Linked DNA regions of Drosophila melanogaster. The protein of the gene in region 4 purifies or fractionates together with the protein of the main gene of each other region. This does not show direct contact. Each region holds a gene or a part of one and is shown on either strand. Other genes may lie near its edges.

Region 1 (4,685 bases), on a different chromosome or scaffold from region 4:
GAGGTTAATAATAGAAAAAGACAGGAGGCTATCAGATACTATCAGATTGCGATATGCAAGCCCTAATTTCATAAAATATGTACATACATATTTAGTCCGGCGTACATATAAACTCCTGTGATTCTGATCTAACATATATGAGTCTCAAAGGGTTTCCTTCTATATTTTACTTTCAAACTTTTACTTTTAAACTTTTCAACGAATCTAGTATGCTCTTCACTTTACCTCTTAAAGAATAAGTTATATCATCACAATGTACAATAGTACACTTAAACTAAACAATGTATATAGTATTTGTTTACAACCTTATCTTCTAGTACCGTCTAGTTCACCATGGGAAAAAGCTTTGTCGACTCAAAAGCTGAGCAAATGTTTATATGTATATTGTACATATGTTTGATTGTTTGCTTGATTGCCGATTAAGCTCCCGAGATCTATGAAGAAAATTCGTTAGAACCTAACAATAAGCTTTCAAGAAAATACTTCGCGTACCAGTGTGCTGGATAGCTTAATCCAAAGAAGTATCTTGATCGCCATGCGGCTCACTCTCGCATTATTCAGTTTGGTCCCAATGTTGGCTTATATAGATTCTATTACAACACCTACACATATTGGGCCAGAACGGGGAGTGTCCCATGAGCGTCCTCTACCGCTGATTGCAAACATCAAGGGAATCGGCACATAGTGGATCCCGAATCCCAAAGCCGAGTTCAGAAGAAAGGGCCGCATTTACAGTTACCAACTCCAAGTTGGCTAAAAAGTTAAAAATGAAGATTCTTCGCGATGATTTGACCGACTTCTTCTTGTCGGTGGTTAAACCGGCATTAAGCGGAATGACTTTATGGACCAGTCCTCCGAGCGGAGGACGAAGTAGCAGGCAAGGAGGGTCAAAGTTTGATCTCTCCCACAACTGGACCCTGGAGCAAATGGCTGCCCAGGCCATCGTGTTCTTCTTGGCTGGATTCGAGACCTCCTCCAGTACGATGAGCTCTTGTAAGTACGAACTAGCCCTCCAGCCGGAGATCTAGAATCAAATAAGGGATGAAATAGAAAGGGTTCTGGAAGGAAATGCGATTACTTACGACGCCTTAGCTAAAATTAACTATCCAGAACAGGTCTTGTCTGGTAAGCATGGAAAATTTGATAGCGCAACTTAACTTTTAGAAACTCTTCGAAAACATCCAATTAATTAAATTTTTGCTCGAAACACAAGAAAGCTTTAGGGTCCGCAATACTGAGCTCATCGTTGAGAAGGGAACTTCATTACTGATACCTGTGCACAGTGTTCACTACGATCCGCACTTATATCCACATCCAAAACTCTTCGATTCCAGCCGCCTCAAGGCTTATAAGTCCAACTCCCGCCATCCATTTGCATATCTGCCCTTCGGAACATTTGGACCCCGCAGTTGCATAGGTCTGCGTTTTGGCAAAATGCAGGCCAAGATTGGCATTGTGTCAGCGCTTCAAGTTCGGTGATTCAGACCTAACAGACATCCCCTTAGCTTCGGACACTCGCAGCGCCATAGTGGAACGCATATAGACTCGGAATTTTACTAACTTTGGAAAGTTTAGAATGTACTTGTAAAACTTGTAAATAATCTAATAACGCTTAGCCAGTGAAGTTTTTTAAATTTTCAAATAATAATTGATCTGAAAACTGAACATTAGCAACGCTCTATATATTTTGTTTACAAATCATTTGATTCTCATTTAAAATGACGCAAGATATGTTTATGTATGTTTAGATAACTGCAGTTCTTTGCATATAAGACCGATAGAGAAAGAGAGTCCCCGAAAAGAGAGCGAAGCGAAAGCTTTTCAGACGGCAAATCAAATGTACCCCACTTTTCCACTCAGTTGTTATTCTATCGAGCAGTAGGTACCATGCTGACGCTCCTGGTACTCGTGTTCACCGTCGGACTTCTGCTATATGTCAAGCTACGCTGGCATTACAGCTACTGGAGCAGAAGGGGCGTCGCCGGAGAAAGACCCGTGTACTTCCGCGGCAATATGAGTGGGCTGGGAAGGGACCTTCACTGGACGGATATCAACCTGCGGATCTACCGGAAGTTTCGGGGAGTGGAGCGCTACTGCGGCTACTTCACTTTTATGACCAAGTCGCTGTTTATCATGGATCTGGAACTGATCCGCGATATAATGATCAGGGACTTTTCCAGCTTCGCCGATCGAGGACTCTTCCATAATGTGCGGGACGATCCACTGACCGGGAACCTTCTCTTCCTGGACGGACCGGAGTGGCGCTGGTTGCGCCAGAATTTGACGCAGGTGTTCACCTCCGGCAAGATGAAATTCATGTTCCCCAACATGGTGGAGGTGGGCGAGAAGCTAACGCAGGCGTGTCGCCTCCAGGTCGGCGAGATAGAGGCAAAGGATCTGTGTGCCAGGTTCACCACGGATGTGATCGGCAGCTGTGCCTTCGGCCTCGAGTGTAATAGTCTCCAGGATCCGGAGTCGCAGTTCCGGCGAATGGGCCGATCAGTGACCCAGGAGCCCCTGCATTCGGTGCTCGTCCAGGCCTTTATGTTTGCCCAGCCGGAGTTGGCTAGGAAGCTGCGCTTCAGGCTTTTTCGCCCGGAGGTCAGTGAGTTCTTCTTGGACACGGTACGCCAGACATTGGACTACAGGCGACGGGAGAATATTCATCGCAACGACCTGATCCAACTACTAATGGAATTGGGTGAGGAGGGAGTAAAAGACGCCCTCTCCTTCGAGCAGATTGCGGCCCAGGCATTGGTTTTCTTTTTGGCCGGGTTCGACACCTCCTCCACCACCATGTCCTTCTGCCTGTATGAGCTGGCCCTCAACCCCGATGTCCAAGAAAGGCTACGGGTTGAGGTACTCGCCGTTTTGAAACGCAACAACCAAAAGCTCACGTACGACTCCGTTCAGGAGATGCCCTACCTGGACCAAGTGGTTGCCGAGACGCTTCGCAAGTATCCTATACTGCCTCACTTACTGAGGCGTTCCACCAAGGAGTACCAGATACCGAATAGCAACCTAATCCTGGAGCCGGGATCTAAGATAATAATACCTGTGCATAGTATTCATCACGACCCAGAGCTTTATCCCGATCCAGAAAAGTTTGATCCCAGTCGCTTTGAGCCAGAAGAGATTAAGGCTAGGCATCCTTTCGCCTATTTGCCTTTTGGCGAGGGTCCTCGAAATTGCATAGGCGAGCGTTTTGGTAAACTGCAAGTGAAGGTGGGTCTTGTATACCTTCTAAGGGATTTTAAGTTCAGCAGGTCGGAGAAAACACAGATCCCGCTGAAGTTTTCCAGTCGTAATTTCCTGATATCCACCCAGGAGGGAGTTCATTTGAGGATGGAAGGACTTGAAAGACCATAATAGTTGTTATCTGAAAATGTGTATAATCCTGACAGCGCGAAATATGTATAGGAAAACTCTTATCTACAAAAGACTGCGTTCCAAGATTGCATTAATCCCTACATTATACAAATAAACACAAAGAAACTGTCTAGTATCAAAAAGCTTTTTTTACAATTGAATAATGATAGATAAATAAATAAAAAAGAATTCAATTTTAGAGAGGGAGAGAAACGACTTAAAAATATGTTTTGACTGGAAATTTGAATTCTTAAAAGAAGGTGTCTTTGAATTTAAATATTAACCAATCCGAATTTTAGATGTATGTACATACATATAAAATAAAAGCTTTTAAAAGCCAGTCTTGTATATACTCTCTGTCAGAATACTGTGCTCAAAAGCTTTATAATAATAAAATTTAATTTAGAAATCTTTAATAACAAGGATAGTTTAAAATCTAATTTAGGTTGTCCTAACGTTTGGCAAGCCAAATTATAATAAGATAAGATACATTACAGAACAAAAATATTTCTAAATATTTAGGGAAAACTTTATGTTATGTTTCAAAATAAATAAATAAAGTAATTCAGTTTTCACATGGGAAAAACTTACTCCACATTTACTTAAATTGTGAAATGAAAATTTTATTATCAAATCATAAGTTAAGCATTTATTACAGACATATTATTACATTATTACAGTTCCATAGCATTTCTTAAGCGACAATAAAGCTAATTGCTATAGCACTCAAGTTGGTGGATGACATGGACAAACCCATGGACTCAGCTTTACTCACACTTAAAAGCTGACTAATATAGCGTCTGGAAAAGTTTGTTATCAGTCAGTTTCTTACCAACTCAGTAAATGCGCATCTTTTCAAACCTGTTATTATCAAAATGAAATCGGATGATACAGGCTCCTGCCTGTAGTTGCGTAGCTCTTAAAATACTGATTCATTGGACATCTACTCGTGCAGAAACATCCAATTTCTTAAAAACTATCATAACAAATTACTTGCTTTGCCTACAAAGCCCTTAAAAAGCTTTTTTACTCCGAGCGGAAAGATTGGTACCGCGAATGTGCAAATTCACCTTTTGGGAAATAGGATTTAAAACTTTTTACTTACAACATAACACCAAAAAGACAATTGCAAATATGTGTTTATATAGTAATTTAGTTAACCAAAAACCTCAAAAGAAAGTATGGTTTTCCCTTAAGAAATTTACATGCCTCGTACTAAATAATCCTAAATAACTGCATTGTAGTTTTTAATCACTGTGAACGTAGTGACGAAGCGCAATGCATTAACGCATTAACATTAAATGCTAAATAAAAAA
Region 2 (5,025 bases), on a different chromosome or scaffold from region 4:
AGCCATTAAGTGGCAACCAAAATACATTCCAGGCCCAGCTGGTGGTCCTGTCGCCTTCTGAAAGCAACAAGTCTCACATTGCGTAGCCGAGATGTTGACCAAGGCCCAAGCTGCGGCCACTTTCATTTGGCTTTCGAGTGTTAAGCGCGTCGGTTGCTAAGTGGATCCTTATTAAAAAAAACACACTCCTGCAATGAGAACGTCCATGAGGATTTCCCTGAGGCTGCTTGCACTCCTGGCTTGTGCCATTTGCTCTCAGGCTTCGCTGGAAAGGGAGAACAACGAGGGCACCAATATGGCAAATGTGAGTTATCAATGGATTAACTATTTCATTAAGACCCAACAGAAAGTGGAAGTAAATTGTGAAATTCGTTAAATTAGTTAAGCGGAGTTATAATCTAAGTTGATAACGCGACGCATTGTTTAACGTTCATTTACATACCTAATTAAATAGTTGTTACCTGATTAGTTTTGATATAAATATAATTTATCGTCTTATTTGCAGCACAAGCTAAGTGGCGTTATACAATGGAAGTACGAGAAGCGACCGTTTTGCAATGCATTTACAGGTAATTTTAATACAATATATAATAATATCCATTACAATCCGGACGATTTACAGGCTGTGGACGAAAGCGTACGTATCCCTCGTATCCGCCATTCTCGCTATTCAAACGCAACGAAGTCGAAGAGAAACCCTATAACAATGAGTATTTATCCGAAGGTCTAAGTGATTTGATCGATATCAATGCCGAGCCAGCTGTGGAAAATGTTCAAAAGCAAATCATGTCGCAGGCCAAAATCTTCGAGGCCATCAAAGAAGCCAGCAAGGAAATCTTTCGGCAAAAGAACAAACAGAAAATGTTGCAAAATGAAAAGGAGATGCAGCAATTGGAGGAGCGCGAAAGCAAATAAATCGAAATAATCGGATAAATCGGAATTATCGGAATAGTCGGATTTCTGGAAAGCAAATTGACTGGACGGTTAGCACACTGCTTTTGTTATTGTACATACTATCTTTATCCATGACTCCTTGAATTGTGAAGAATTCCACAGCACTGGCATTGCATTCAATAAAAATTGTTGACCTCACTTTTTGTTGTTTTCTGGTCTATTGTATTTATTGGTAATACATCTGATTATAGAAAACGGTTTAGAAAGTTCATTATTTTTACCACACTGAATATACAATATGTTACCCTATGCTATCTCTTGGTGACATTAGTAATTGGTAATCGCAGTTGGTTCTCGTATCATTGCATACTTATGATAACGATAAGGACAATCATAAAAGGTATTTCAACAGCAAACAGATGGATTGCACCTAGGCAACTTTAGCAAATAAATTAACAAAACACACATATTCATTTCAACTTTATAATTTACATAATACCTATAAATAGAGAGCGAGTTAAAAGTAACATTATTATAACAAGAAACTATGTTAATTCATAAAAGTTATTTTCGAATTTAAATATTAATTAATGATTTGATAATGAATTTATTGTACACTTTTTGTTTTTTATCTGACGGTAATCTCTTATCATTCCAAATAATCGGAGTGATTTGCTAGCCACTTAACTATTGTATTTCATCATTGCAATTGTAATTTTTATGATAATTTAGGCACTCTTTTGGACAAACGCACTCGCACTCCATGTTTGGGAATCAAGGCAATGCCACTGTTCTCGAACTCTATTTCGCTCCTGCTCATCACCTCGACATTGAAGTTCTGTAGGATCTTGATGATGGCCAGTTTGGAGTTAATACGACCCATCCTCTGGGCAATGCAAATCCTGGGACCCTCGCCAAACGGCATGAATGCAGTGGGATTATAATTGCGACTCTCCTCCGAGAAGCGTTCGGGATCATAGGTCTCGGGATCCGGGAAGTACTCTGCATCATGGTGAATGCCGTACAGGGAGATCACAACTGGCGTTCCCTTCGGAATGACGTGGTTGGTGTCGGGTACTGTGTAGTCCTGGGTGCATTCACGATTCAGAATGGGAAGACCCGGATATTTGCGAATGGTTTCCTGCACACACAGGTCCAAAAATTCCATCTTGTTCAGGGAATCGTAGGTGATCTTTCCGTCGTTTTTGGCCAGTGTCTCGTCCACTTCATCCTGCAGGCGCTTCAGTAGCTCTGGATACTGAGCCAGCTCGTAGATGGTAAAGGCTGCAGTCGATCCGGTGGTCTCCTGACCAGCGATGTAGAATATAAAAGCCTGAGCGGTGATGGCCTCCAAGGATATGGTTTTAATATGACCTGAAAACGTTAAACCACTCAATCTATCTTGATTAGAATTTAACTTGTATTATGACTTACCATCGGGTGTCTTCTGAATGCTAAAGGACTTCTCGTCATTCTCGTCTATCTTGCCGGTATTCCTCAGCTGAATGAGCAACTGCAACAGATCCTTGCGCACTATTCCATGTTTCTCGCGATACTCAACGGTTTCCTTGACAATCTGCAACATGGCCAGGCCAACTGGATTTTTAAAACCTATTCTGAATAGGAACTGTGCTATCCTACAAGAACATCCATTAGACACACCATAGCAAAACTCACTCTCACTTATTACTTACGAGGGCACCAGGAAGATCATCATGCCGAACATGGCATTGAATCTATTATTGGCTCTGGCCAACGACACCAGTTTACGGAACTTGTTATCAGGATTTTCGAAGCTATTTACATCCAAGCCAAAGATAGTCGAGGCTATAATGTCAATGGCATAGTTTTGCATCACTTTCTTTATGTCCACCTCCTTGAAGCCCTCCTCCGGCAGCTCCTTTTGCAGATGGGCCACCATCTTGTCACCAATATCCTCGGATGTGCTGAACATGCTCTTCAACTTTCCGGATGTGAAACATGGCGACAACATGTGCCTCATCGATCGCCAGCTCTGACCGCGAAGCGAGAAGATATTGGCCGACAGGGGATCCCGTTCCTCATCAACGTAAACGCCGCGATCGTGGAAACTGGCGAAATCCTGGGCCAGAACACGGCGAGCCAGATCGGCGTCTCTGATCAAAACAGCCGGACGGAAGAGCAAATAAATGCCCAAGACGCGCTCTTTACTCTTCACATACACATCGTAGATGGCCAAGCCCATGCTCTTCTCCTGCCGCCACACACTGTCCAAGCAACCGAATGGAATCCCGGAGTGTTTTTCAAATGGAAATCCGCGTCGCTCCCAGTACTCATAGTGGCGCTTCAGATAGAACCACGCCAAAGTCAATAGCGTTACGGCCAATAAAATCAGCGAAAACATAGTCGAAGTAGTGCACCTTTTCTTTTTTTTAAATCCACCCTTTCTCTGCGAAAGTCAATATATAACTGACTATCAAACTGGAGAGCCTCCACTTATATGCGCTGAAATTCGTCGATTATTTGTTCTCTTTGGCAGTAACGTTCTCTTAATTCTTTACAGCGAAGAATTCTAAATGAACAAAGCTACATTGATAGTCTTGATGACAGCTTTATATTAATGGTGAAATGCAAAACAAAGCTCTTATGTTATAAGCTAACAATTATTATATACAAAATACTTAAAAGTTGATTTATAATCTTAGAATTCGTTGACTTATTGTTGATTTATGATGGGCTGCTGTTTAGTTAACTAACTTTAGCATAGCAACTCTATTTTAAAATAGAAGGAACCGGTTTAGAAGTATATGTTTTTTATAATATTTAATATTAAATCCTTCCTAATCAAAATTGAATCTTGTTTCTAACTAGATTCCTTTATCAATATGTAGGGTTACGTTGTGGGCTTGATGATTTGCCTTGGACATTACTCGCACCGAAGTGGATCCCCTGCTTATGCCGGCACTATGAAGATCCTGGGGCTGTTGCTTCTCGGACCAGGGTTCGAAATTGAAATGGAATCCCTCCAGGTCCTGGCAATCCACATGGGGATTACCTCCATCGCGCAGTCTCTGCATAACATGCTCCCTCACTCGGGTGATTCCATCTGAGTTGCGACAAATGATGGCGGCCAGACTGGTCTTGTAGATCTCCGCCAATTGAGCTTATGAATCAGGATAAACACGATTCTTAATGAGAAAATAGGACTTCCAAGGACTCTCACCTTTGGTGAACTTCTGTGGGCCCATTTTCCGTTCGTACCAATGGGAGTCACCTAGTTTGAGGCGTAGGAACTGGTCGGAAACCATGCAGCTGAGCAACGGACCAAAAATAGCTCCATCCAGTGGCGGCTCACTAAGTGCACCCGTATAGACGTCCACATCCTGCGGAGATCTAAAAACCAAAAGTGTTTACCTTTAAGGCAATACTATAATCGAGAACTTTACTTACTCATAAATCTGCCGGATGGAGTCCAGAGTAGCGTTGTCAATGGCCTGTGACATCTCCTCCCACGTGTCCACCGTCGGCAGGCGGCAATGGCGACGGAAGACTGGATACGAGGGTATGCCATGATCCCGACCCCTCTGAATGTTTAAGGATACCAAATCGAGTCCACAAAGAGGCACCCTATCCTCTGCGGTGCCTTCGAAAAGCTTTTGCGTGACTTCCAGTGAAAAGAAGCGATCCACTTGCATCACCGGCGTATTGGCCGCTGTCATCAGGGCGTGGTCAATGCCATGCTCCGCCCAGAGCGAGAATGGATTGAAGAGCATCTTGTGCAGTTCGATGGCCTCGGGAGTGCTGTTATCCCTCGAGATATTAAACAATCCCGGTAGAAGAGTGTGTGCAAATCGAAATGCGGCTGCTGCAAAGCAATTGGCAATACTTGGATCCACCTCCGGGTCATACGTATCCGGAGCATTTAGATTGTGTTTGGCAGGCAGCAAGCCCTTGGCCTCGCTGATATTCTTCCCCAGCAGCACTGGCAAAAACTCATTGTAGGTGATGTGTGCCATCTGAGCACCAAGAATCTTTCGGGCTTCCTGGTAGAGCCGCTCATCCTCCCAATGTGGATTCTGCTCCTGCAATTGTCGAGCCAAATAGTTGTGATGTCTAGCCCACAGCAAATGCATAGATGTGAGCAACAGGTTC
Region 3 (5,821 bases), on a different chromosome or scaffold from region 4:
CTACAATAGCAGCGAGCGAATAAGTGGCCTATTTCACTCTCCGAATTTTCCCGGATATTACCTGGAAAATGTTGTGTGCAATTATTATTTCTACGGAGCAAGTGACGAAAGAGTTGTGCTTCACTTCACATATTTCGATATCGAGGGCATTGGAAGGTAAGATCTTTATCTAAACTATCACCTAAAAATGTTTAATCCCCTTTTCTGTGCAGTTGTGACCACCAAACCGCCAGCGATTACATCGAGTTTTCCAATTTCATGAGCACGGATCGAAAGTTCAGCAGATACTGCGGAAAGCTTCCCGATTTTGAAATGCGTTCTGATGGACGTTTCTTTCGAGTCACCTTGCATTCCAATGATCGCTTTGTGGCCATCGGATTCCGCGCCCTGTACACCTTTGAAACCGTTTCAGTGAATAATTCCATCACCGATCTTCGGGATAATGCCTCCATGCAGAGTTTCGTCTCAACAGCGTCAACTCAGCCGGTTGCAAATGTAAACAAATTAATTGCATGTATCTTATGCACTTATAAAGCATACCAATCTTATGTTTAAAATATAGAGACAAAATATTTCGAAATTTTGTTTTCTAATTCTTTAATAAATTTTAATAATTTTTTTCTATTTTAATGGCACACAACTTCATTAAATTTAAATATTTAATCTTGGCCAAATTATCGTTTTAAAAGCAATCGATTTCATGTTGGCTATCGAAGTTTATGCGTAGTAGTTCAAGAACTAACAATTTAAGTTGAGGGATTTTAAGTATTAGGATGTAAATTAAACGTGATATCATCGATAAAAACTCCGCCAAGCATTTTCATTTTCAATAGTTTCTGGTAAAAATTATTTATTTAATTTCAACTTCATTATCAGAGTTACCGTGTAAACGAGCCACTCGTTGTTATCTGCAATCGATCTTTACCTGTTCGATTCAGTTTTGTAGAGTCACGACATAAGTATATGCTATCTTTTTATCATTTTTGGTATAAATTAAAAACAAAGAAACAAATTACCATTAATTGTTTAAATTTAATAATGTCAACTTCTTTAAAACATAACATTCAACAAAACATATTATTATTTTGATCGTTTATAAGATTAGTTCCTTTGAACAAGTTTAATCCAAAAGCCGCCTTTGGGTGACAACTGAAAACCGGAAGTAATGAGCTCTAGTGGAATGCAGGATTTCTTGGCAGGGGCAAAGCGGTAGTCCTTCAAAAGATAGTAGATAACAGCCTTTGCTTCAAGTAGAGCGAATCGGGAACCTATAATAAATACATTTTACATTTTTTCGAAGAACAATTTTGAATCAATCAACTTACCAATGCAGTTGCGTTGACCCAGGCCAAAGGGGAAGTATGTGAATGGCTGAATAGACTCCTTGTTCTCATCGCTAAAACGTTCCGGATCGAACTTCATAGGGTTCTCAAAGTACTTGGGATCACGATGGAAGCCGCATGTAGGCAGCCAGATGACATCGCCCTTCTTGACCTCGACTTTCTGGCCATCCACATCGAAGGTGATATCCTTGTTGCATTCTCGATCGACGGCAATTGCCGCCGGCCACTTTCGCAGAACCTCGTTGACGACCTGATCCAGATACTTCATGCCCATAATTGCCTCATAGGTCAGTTCTTTGCCCTCCAGGTCTTGGTCCACTTGCTGTACCTCCTCGTATAGCCTCTGCTGCACATCCTGGTTCTCCATTAGCTCGTGAGCGGTGAAGCACATCAGCACCGCCGAAGTCTCGAAGCCAGCAAAGAAGAACACGAAACACTGGGCGACAATGTCGCGATCGCTCCACTCGCGAACGGCAGATGCCTTGGTCTTCTCCGTCTGGATGATACCACGAGCCTCCATCAGCATGTTTATCATGTCGGGACGTACAATATTGTGCTCCTGTCGGTATTTCATAGCATCGAGCACCAGACGCACGAAATACTGAGTGCTTTTCCTATCGAAAAGCTCGACCTTAAGGATCTACAAGGATTATTAAAATTAAGGAATATATTTTTTTGATATGTGTGTATGCTGTGCCAACCTTATTAAGACCCTTCAATGCGAAGAACAACATGAACTTCATGCTCTGCAGGAATGTAAATGTGGTCAGCTTTTTTCCCATCTGATAGAAGGTATTTTCGCGATCCTTGAACGAGTTCACTTGCAGTCCAAAGGCTGTCGAGGCGATCACATCATTGGTGAATCGTGTGCAGTAGTCCTTCATGTCCAGTTCATTCTCCTGAACCCTTGAATCATCCTGCTTAAGACAGTCCACGGCCTCCTTGGCCACCTGGTTCATCAGCTGGAACATCTGACGCATTTTGCTGCCTGTAAATGCCGGACTCAGAGTGCTTCGCATATCCTTCCACCGAGCATCTCGCATGGAGAACAGCGAGCTGCCGAAAAGGTTACTCATGTCATGTGGATCATCATCGCTGCTGGTGGCAAACACATTGCGATGATTGATAAAGTGATCGAAGTCCTTTATGGTTATCTGCTTGATAAGATCTGGGTCGCGCACCATTAAAAGTGGTTGTCGCTGCTCAAAGATACCAAAAAATCTAAAAAAAATAATAATGTTAATGACCGATAAGCTTTTTGTGAGTCACACACTGATAAATCAAATCAGAAATTATTAATCGTGCGCTCAACAAGTTTAGAAAACGATAACAGAAATTCGAGTTTATGCATGGCTAGCGTTGTTCATTACCTATCCGACGAATTTTCAATTAACCCATCTCGATTTCTTTTTGGAAAACTATAAATTTATAAAGCGGATTTCTCGTATTGGTCTATAAATAAATCATATGTACATTAAATCCAATTGAAAAGGCTGAGTACAATAATGATTGCATGTTTATAAAGTAACAAAAAGGGTAAAGTCATACAAAGAGTTGCCCCAATATGAAGTTAATTAATAAATTAGATAACCTTATCGTTATAGCACTTTTCAGGAGCTTTATCAATTATTTTTCCTATCAAGTTTGCCGTCCGAGACAAACAACATTTAAAGCTGTCGTATAATCGATAAGATTATGGCAAACTAAACTAATAGAACCAAGCATTTCGCCAATTATCTTGGCAGTTACACACTGCTTTAGATAAAAGACTTAACAAAATATAATAGAGTATTTCTGAATTTCTGTAATTGTATATTCAAAACGTAGTCGAACGCAGCCGCACCCACTAAATGTGTGTATAGATAGATCACTGATTGCCTGACCTTGACATACGATTTTATATAGGCTTGTACGCAATGCTGGAGGCCAGTAGATACACACTTGTTCCAAACGTGTTTTAAGTGCAAGTGCAAGTGAGCCGGATGCATATTAGGTAATCAACTTATTAAATCCGGATCAATGAATTTAACTCACTTCTTACTTCCGCCTTTGGTGTAGAGATCACAGACTATGTCAAACATGGCCCTCTTCCGCAGGAACATGCCGGCCATGTTGCCAAAGTAGAGCACTGGCTTTTCATAGGCGATGCCCCTATCCTTGAAGAAATCATTGTTGGCGGACGCCCAACGGTAGAACAAGGCGGCAGCGATCGCAAATAGGGCGAAGAACTCCCACAACATGTTGACCCTAGCTTGGCGATCTAAGCGTCCAGAATATAACTAACTACGCCACAAACAATCGGGAGCGTTTTGTTGTCCCCACGCAGAGCTTTCTAACAAAGCTTCGTGTACTGCATTTGATAAAATACTTGTTGTCTGTAATACACACAAGTATGTACAAATTTCTGAGCGCAAATGATTTAGAATATCACTCATCATTTCATTATCACGGCGTGTTGGAGAAAATGCTGACGACTCTGAGCATACCAATATTATGTTTAAAATATAGAAACAGAATATTTCGAAATTCTGTTTTCTAATTCTTTAATATATATTTTTTCTATTTTAATGGCACACAACTTCATTAAATTCATATATTTAAACTTGGCCAATTTATCGTTTTAAAATTCATCGATTTCTTGTTGGCTATCGAAGTTTATGCGTAGTAGTTCGAGAACTAACAATTTGATCTGAGGGATTTTAAGTATTAGGATGTAAATTAAACCATCATCACCATAAATTAAATTATCATCGATAAAAAAGGACGCAAAGCATTTTCATTTTCAATAGTTTCTAGTAAAAATATTTTATTTCATTTCAACTTCATTATCCGAGTTACTAGCCACTTGTTGCTATCTGCAATCGATCTTTACCTGTTCGATTCAGTTTTGTACAGTCACGACGCTACTATCTTCAATAAATACAGCTCTTATACGGTGCGATTAGCATTATTAACATTTCGCCAGTCGGCCGAAGCAGACGAATTACCTTTCGGTCTGGAAGTGATAAGACATTTCTAGTCAAATCATTATAGTCGCATATCTGTGGACTCTGGAATGGCGGCTAAGAAACTGGATGCCATAATCTTCGGTGCCTCCGGGTTTACCGGAAAGTACACCGTCTTCGAGGCTGTCAGCGTGCTGAAGGGCCTGCAATGGGGCATCGCCGGACGCAACCAGGAGAAGCTGCAGTCGGTGCTGCGGGAGATGGGTGCAAAGTCCAAGACAGACCTCTCCCAAACGCCGATCGTCATCGCGGACGTGAACAACGAGGCGTCACTGCTAGAGATGGCCAAACGCTGCCGCATTTTAGTCAATACGGCCGGACCATATCGGTTCTTCGGCGAGCGAGTGGTCAGGGCTTGCATCGAGGCGGGAACGCATCACGTAGACGTAAGCGGAGAGCCACAGTACATGGAAACCATGCAGCTGCGCTACCATGATCTCGCCAAGGAGCGTGGCGTGTACGTGATCAGTGCGTGCGGCTTTGATTCCATTCCCGCCGACATGGGAGTCACCTTCGTGGAGAAGAACTTCGACGGCGTGGTCAACTCAGTGGAGAACTTTGTCCATCTGGGCGTCAAGGGAGGTACCAAGGGAACGGGCAGTGCTGCACTCAACACCGGCACCTGGGAGAGCGCCATTCACGCTATCGCCAACCGGAGCGAGTCTGTGGCCATCCGGCGCAAGTTGTTTCCCGAGCGTCTGCCCAACTTTCATCCGGCTCTTAAGTCACGATCGCCGCTTTCCCGTGCCGCGGAAGTGGACAACAAGGTGATCCTGCCGTTCCCTGAAACAGATCGCTCGGTGGTGATGCGCTCGCAGCGTTTCCTTTACGAACTGGAGAAGAAGCGACCCGTTCAGATGCAGGCCTACATGACGTATCCCTCATGGTTTGCGGCCAGCGTTGTCGTGCTCTTCGCCTCTATCATTGGCATTATGGCCAAGTTCTCCTTTGGCCGCCAGCTGCTGCTTAAGTACCCCACCGTCTTCTCCGGCGGCATGGCTTCCCGCGAGGGTCCCAGTGAGGCGCGGATGGAGCGCTCCTTCTTCAGAATGACCATGAAGGCCACAGGCTGGCCCAAGTCCGAAAAACTAGCCGAGACCACCGATCAGTACACCTCTCCGCCCACAAAGACACTGACCGTGAGGGTTACGGGTCCCAATCCCGGCTATGGATCCACTTGCGTTGCACTGCTCTCCACGGCGAAGACCATCCTCAACGAAAGCGACAAGATGCCCGGATCCGGCGGAGTCCTGCCACCCGGAGCAGCCTTCCGTGGCACCAGTCTCATCAGCGAGCTGGAGAAGCACGAGCACGGCATTAAGTTTGAAATCGTGGCCAACAAATAGTGTCTTTAATGAGGTGCATTCGATGTTATTAAAAATACATATATGTATGTATGTATGTTAAATATATTTATCTTAATATGAAATTTGGATTTACGTTTGCATTACCTATTGATTAACTAATTTGTGC
Region 4 (5,350 bases):
TGCCCGCAGTGCCTTCAAGAACTTTTTTGCTGCGGGAATGGGCAAAGCAGGACGAAGTCGCAAACTAAAGCTCCAGCAGAAGCGCATACAGGTCATCCTCACATGGCTGAAGGAGGAAACGGCGGAATCTGCTCTGGCTAAAGTGCTGTCGAGACTGAAAAAGGTTCGTTGCTTGAGATATCTTTTTCCGATTTATGCTAAAAATAATATTCTTGCAGAACCAGCGTGATTCCCTGGTCTCCCAAGTGAATGCAGCCATCTCTGGTTACTCCAACGAGTTGTGCCACGCCTACGATTACTTCGATGAGCACTACGAGAATGCTTTTCCTTATATAGAACCCGTCAGTGAAGAGGAATGCAGCGACGATGAACATTCGTCTAGCTCCGATGAAAAATTTTCAGATGTCGAAGAAGGCGAGGATCAGGAGGAAGCTGATAACCAAGATGAGGAGCAGCAGGAAGAAAATCAAGACGTTGATTCGGGTGATGAAGAAGAAGAGGAGGCGGATGAAGGCCTCGAGCTGGAAGTGGAAGACAAAACGCTACTCTTCCCACAATGGTTTCTGGACAAACTATATCCCGCGCACCTGCCCCGCAGCTTCGTGGACCTTATGCACCTGCGCAAGTACATCAACAACCCACAGATCGAGCACTTTCCCTTCCACGACTCCAATGAAGTGGCCTTACCCATCCTGAACTACGTGTTCGCTCTTCTCCATCACGTAGAGTGTGAGAAAATTGAGCTACCATTAGAAGTGGATATGGATATAGAGGGTTCGACAGTCCCCTATCTCACCTACCTCACCAGAGCTCTGCGAGTGACGAACGTGAGGTATTTCAAGATGCCCATTGAAAAGAAGCCTGCCTATCCGTTTGATCCTCTTTCGCCGGATGCTAGGCATTTAAGAGCTGTATTCGAAGACAATGCTCCCAATGCGGATACGGAGAAGTTGTTCAGCAAGCTCGACCAGTTGCCGGAGGACCTGAGGCTGTACTTTCTGGCCATTATCTACTGGTTACATCGCTCGGAGCACTGTGATTTGCTGCATCTTCACTCGCTGATCCTTAGTTTGGTTGTCCTACGAACCATAGATGTTACAATCCCTGCTGAACGAGAGGTGAAAACCTTCCTTAAAAGATTTGGCAAGACATTGAAAGCAGAGCGAGCAGTGAGGGATAAGGAAGCTGCCGAGGGAATTAAGCGCGGCATCAAACCTGCTCTGCTAGAGCTTTCTGTTCCAGATCGGATGGCTCATGTACCCAAATCGGACTGCTATTTAACTCAGGAACGCCTACTGCCGCACTTCCATATGCAGGAGATCTTCAAAAAGAAGTTTGACTTGTACTCCACCACGGTTATCCACGCATTTGCTGAATTTCAGGCTGTGGTTTACCAACTCAATGGGCTAAATTCTCTTTTGGATTTTCCACTTTTGAGTCCGAGGATGAACCAGCTTTATTGCGGCGCCTTTCTCTACAACATGTATGATGTACTGAGGAATCGTGCCGATGTCCGCTACCATGTTGAGAACTTCCTGCTGCCCGACTCCAAGTTGATGTTCGATTTCTATTGCTACTTGTACGACTGGTGCGCGGAGTTTATACCAACTTGGAAGCGATTGGAGGTGGATCCGACGGCGGCAAAGGCCCTGCAGAAGAAGCGATTGAAGAAGCAGCGTCAGGCGGCTAGGAAAGTGGAGCTAAGGGAGGCCATCGCGGATCCCAATGCGGAAATGGTCGAGGATGCCGATCCAGAAAACGACTTCTTCGATCTGAACAACAAATTCTGCGCACTCAAGGTAGCGTAGCTAGTTTGAAGTCCCGCACGTGCAATTTTGAAGTTTTTACATTGTTACAAATCTATACTTTGCGTAAAATAAGAAAAAAATTAAATATTTTTTAAAAAACTTCATTTTTGAATGCATTTCATTAACAGTTTGGAAAAATACTGTTATTTCCTATGTTATGGTCATGTTAAGTGCAAGGTTCGGTATTTTGGCAAAGTAAAATACCTTATCAGTTGCGGTCATACTAACAGCTACGTCACTGCGTTGTAATCAACAAAAAAGAAAAATAAATCAAACTAAACCAGCCGCAGACTGATCAAATGCTGGTTATCGCATAGTTTGTAATCAGCGCCCGTCACTGCCAACAACAAATGAAACCCCTGTGACCTCGGGCCAGAAGCAGGAGCATTGCCGTTGCTGCCAGCGAAAACACAGGCCAAAACAAAGGCCCACCCGAAAAACAGAACGTCATTCGAAGGCAATTATCGTATAGACGAGCAGCGGAGGCCCTGGTGTCCACCCCCTTCTCCTTCTGCCAGCGCACCGGGCAGTAGATGCTGGTTGGACTCAGCGACCAGCTAGCGCGGATCATGGAGAGCGTCTTCGAGGCGTACTTGGGCCCAGACAGCGTCCTCGCTAGTGCAGTTGGCCAGGCGGTGGGCAGCGGAGAGCCGGAGGACATTCCCCGAAGAAACACCGACGTCTGGGTCCTGGGAAAGAAGTACAACGCCATACAGGGTAAGATGAGACCTTATTTAATGCTGTCATATGGGTACAAATCTAGCATATTGGTCAGCATGAGTCATAAGGGGTTTCCCAAACCTTTTTTCGATTATCATCGATGGATACCAAACTGAAATCCATAATCAACACCCTATCCCTTTTCAGAGCTAGAGCTCATCCGACGGGACATTCAGTCGCGCCTGTGGTGCACATATCGCCATGGATTTTCGCCGTTGGGAGAAGTCCAGCTCACCACGGACAAGGGCTGGGGCTGCATGCTGCGCTGTGGTCAGATGGTTCTCGCCCAGGCCCTGATCGACTTACATTTGGGACGCGACTGGTTCTGGACGCCGGACTGCCGTGATGCCACCTACCTCAAGATCGTGAACCGTTTTGAAGACGTAAGGAATAGCTTCTACTCCATACACCAGATTGCCCAGATGGGAGAGTCCCAGAACAAAGCGGTCGGCGAGTGGCTGGGACCGAATACAGTAGCCCAGATTCTCAAGTAAGACCATTGGCCTAACATGGTGGATAAGTGGTATAATCAATTGCTGATTTCAGAAAACTAGTGCGCTTCGATGACTGGAGCTCCCTGGCGATTCACGTGGCCATGGATAGCACAGTGGTATTGGATGACGTATGTAAGTGTGGAAAATGGCCTAAATAGCCCGACTATTTGCCTAACAACATTGTCCACTTTGTAGATGCGTCGTGCCGAGAAGGAGGCTCGTGGAAGCCACTGCTGCTCATAATCCCCCTGCGCCTGGGCATCACAGACATTAACCCGCTTTACGTGCCTGCCTTAAAGCGCTGCCTTGAACTAGACAGCAGTTGTGGCATGATCGGAGGTCGACCAAACCAGGCTCTGTACTTCCTGGGCTATGTGGACGATGAGGTTCTCTACCTAGATCCTCATACCACGCAGAGAACGGGCGCCGTGGCACAGAAAACTGCTGCGGCAGAACAGGACTACGACGAGACCTACCATCAAAAGCATGCTGCTCGCCTGAACTTCTCCGCCATGGACCCCTCGCTGGCGGTTTGTTTCCTCTGCAAGACCAGTGATAGTTTCGAGTCCCTGTTAACCAAGTTGAAGGAGGAGGTGCTCAGCCTCTGCTCGCCTGCGCTCTTCGAGATCAGTCAAACCCGCGCGGTCGATTGGGACACCACGGAGGACATCGACTGGCCCACCATGCCGGACATCGATTGGCCTGCGGGCACCTCGGATTCGGACTCTTTTGCCATAGTTGGTAAGTTGGTTCTGTTGAAGCTGACCATTAAGACCATTATTTATAACTTCACAGCTTGTAATCTGAATCAACAGTCCGAAATTTCACTCCGATTTCACTCAATAAATTCACTCCATTTTCCAGAAGAGAGCGGCAGGGACAGCGACGCCGGCTGTAGCGGCGCCATTGGCAGCGGCAAAAAGCCCAGTGAGAGAGCCGTCATTTGAGAGGTCGCCGGCGGAGCGCCTGCGCCTGCGCCGCACCAGAGCAGATGAAGCCCAGCCAGGCGAAAGTGGAGCACCCAATGAGGAGAAAGAGAGTGGGCCGGGAGGTCGAGCCCCTGCGGATGCTGCGAATGCAATAAACTAAGGCTAAAGTGCATAATTAGACGAGTGGTTGAGATTTAGATTTTAGTATGTTTACGATTTGTACGAATGCGGTTCTTAGCGATTCATAATGCTGCTTTATTGTACGCGATTGACTCCACGGGAGACAATTTGGCAAAACACACACACACAGAGCGACACTTACGGACACATACCGCTTTTTGATGATCAATTAAACATTTTTATGCAACGTTGTACATTGAAGACTCGATGAGATCGAGGCAATCGCCTTAGCCCGGTGTGTATTTATATGTTTGTAATCGTAATATTCATTTTCCTTTCGTATATTCGTCTGTATATGCTCAAAAATGGACCAACAACTAAATACATAATACTTGGACTATATGTATATATCTATATATGTATATATATATGTATGTATGTATATATCAACTTTGCCATCCGCCTCTGGACTCAACGGCTGGACAAACTCAAGCTACACGAACCAAGGAACTTTCTCGAATGAGTAACCAGGATGAGGATGCAGGAATCTACGTTAACAACAAACACGCGGCTACGCAGCTGGCGAATTGACACTAATTGGGCTTGACCTTTGGCCTTCCGGGCTGATTCCCGCAGAAAGGCAAACTGGGATTTGCAGATCAGAGTATCCAACTGTCTCCTACTATCGGAAGATAATCCTTTCTATTCATATTCAAGCGACTTATGTTTCTTGCGCTTCGAATGCATTTAACTTTTGCAATTCATCCATCCTAATTCTCGATATTCTGGTTAAATTCTATGTTGTATTCACTATAAAATTTTCTAATCTCAATTTGTTGGTTCAAAATCAAGCACTGGATATTTAAAGCTGATCGAAACGGACTAGCCTCTAGTAGGAAAGGTTTTTGAGCTACTATTTGAGTTCCTTGAACCTTAGATTCCTTTCAAAAGCGACACACCCAGTTTGCCTTTCCTCTCGGGGAACTCAAAGACCCAGCGGAACCAGGAGAGTAATATGAACATTCAACAACTATTTTCGGATGTCTTAGAGTATGCAGCACGACCTCTCAATCCGCTTCTCCACCTTGGGCTCGCTGTGCAGTGCCATCTCCACGTGCTTTCGTGCCAGCCAGGACTGCTTCTGCAACCGATTGACCACGATCCTGTAGGCGCCAATGATGTCGGAGCGCGGCCCGCTCTGCCTGGCGTTGATCAGCATCTCGGAGGTGAGGCCCAGCTCGGCCAGGATCTGGCGTGCCTCGAACTCCAGGGCACCTAG

What was found.
Region 1: the proteins of Atg4a (region 4) and Cyp6a13 purify together in Drosophila melanogaster (affinity purification with mass spectrometry, with the first as the bait; one large-scale study listed by BioGRID). This does not show direct contact.
Region 2: the proteins of Atg4a (region 4) and Cyp6d4 purify together in Drosophila melanogaster (affinity purification with mass spectrometry, with the first as the bait; one large-scale study listed by BioGRID). This does not show direct contact.
Region 3: the proteins of Atg4a (region 4) and Cyp9f2 purify together in Drosophila melanogaster (affinity purification with mass spectrometry, with the first as the bait; one large-scale study listed by BioGRID). This does not show direct contact.

The regions. Positions count from the first base shown.
Region 1 is NT_033778.4:8,568,644-8,573,328, forward strand, and holds Cyp6a13 (cytochrome P450 6a13), read left to right. Parts: upstream 1-1,855; 5' UTR 1,856-1,887; coding exon 1,888-3,369; 3' UTR 3,370-3,504; downstream 3,505-4,685. UniProt on the Drosophila melanogaster protein: May be involved in the metabolism of insect hormones and in the breakdown of synthetic insecticides.
Region 2 is NT_033777.3:22,696,648-22,701,672, reverse strand, and holds Cyp6d4 (cytochrome P450 6d4), read right to left. Parts: upstream 3,355-5,025; 5' UTR 3,278-3,354; coding exon 2,589-3,277; intron 2,532-2,588; coding exon 2,329-2,531; intron 2,269-2,328; coding exon 1,613-2,268; 3' UTR 1,366-1,612; downstream 1-1,365. Other genes in the region: CCAP (crustacean cardioactive peptide), read left to right, coding at 194-304, 506-569, 623-915; cd (cardinal), read right to left, coding at 3,741-4,036, 4,097-4,266, 4,324-5,025. UniProt on the Drosophila melanogaster protein: May be involved in the metabolism of insect hormones and in the breakdown of synthetic insecticides.
Region 3 is NT_033777.3:12,402,326-12,408,146, forward strand, and holds Cyp9f2 (cytochrome P450 9f2), read right to left. Parts: upstream 3,704-5,821; 5' UTR 3,584-3,703; coding exon 3,378-3,583; intron 2,565-3,377; coding exon 2,045-2,564; intron 1,984-2,044; coding exon 1,326-1,983; intron 1,269-1,325; coding exon 1,102-1,268; 3' UTR 1,015-1,101; downstream 1-1,014. Other genes in the region: Sol1, read left to right, coding at 1-156, 213-555; CG5167 (uncharacterized protein), read left to right, coding at 4,399-5,694. UniProt on the Drosophila melanogaster protein: May be involved in the metabolism of insect hormones and in the breakdown of synthetic insecticides.
Region 4 is NT_033779.5:1,078,903-1,084,252, forward strand, and holds Atg4a (Autophagy-related 4a), read left to right. Parts: upstream 1-2,008; 5' UTR 2,009-2,341; coding exon 2,342-2,525; intron 2,526-2,675; coding exon 2,676-3,018; intron 3,019-3,074; coding exon 3,075-3,154; intron 3,155-3,217; coding exon 3,218-3,763; intron 3,764-3,886; coding exon 3,887-3,969; 3' UTR 3,970-4,476; downstream 4,477-5,350. Other genes in the region: ast (asteroid), read left to right, coding at 1-163, 219-1,808; CG4629 (uncharacterized protein), read right to left, coding at 5,117-5,350.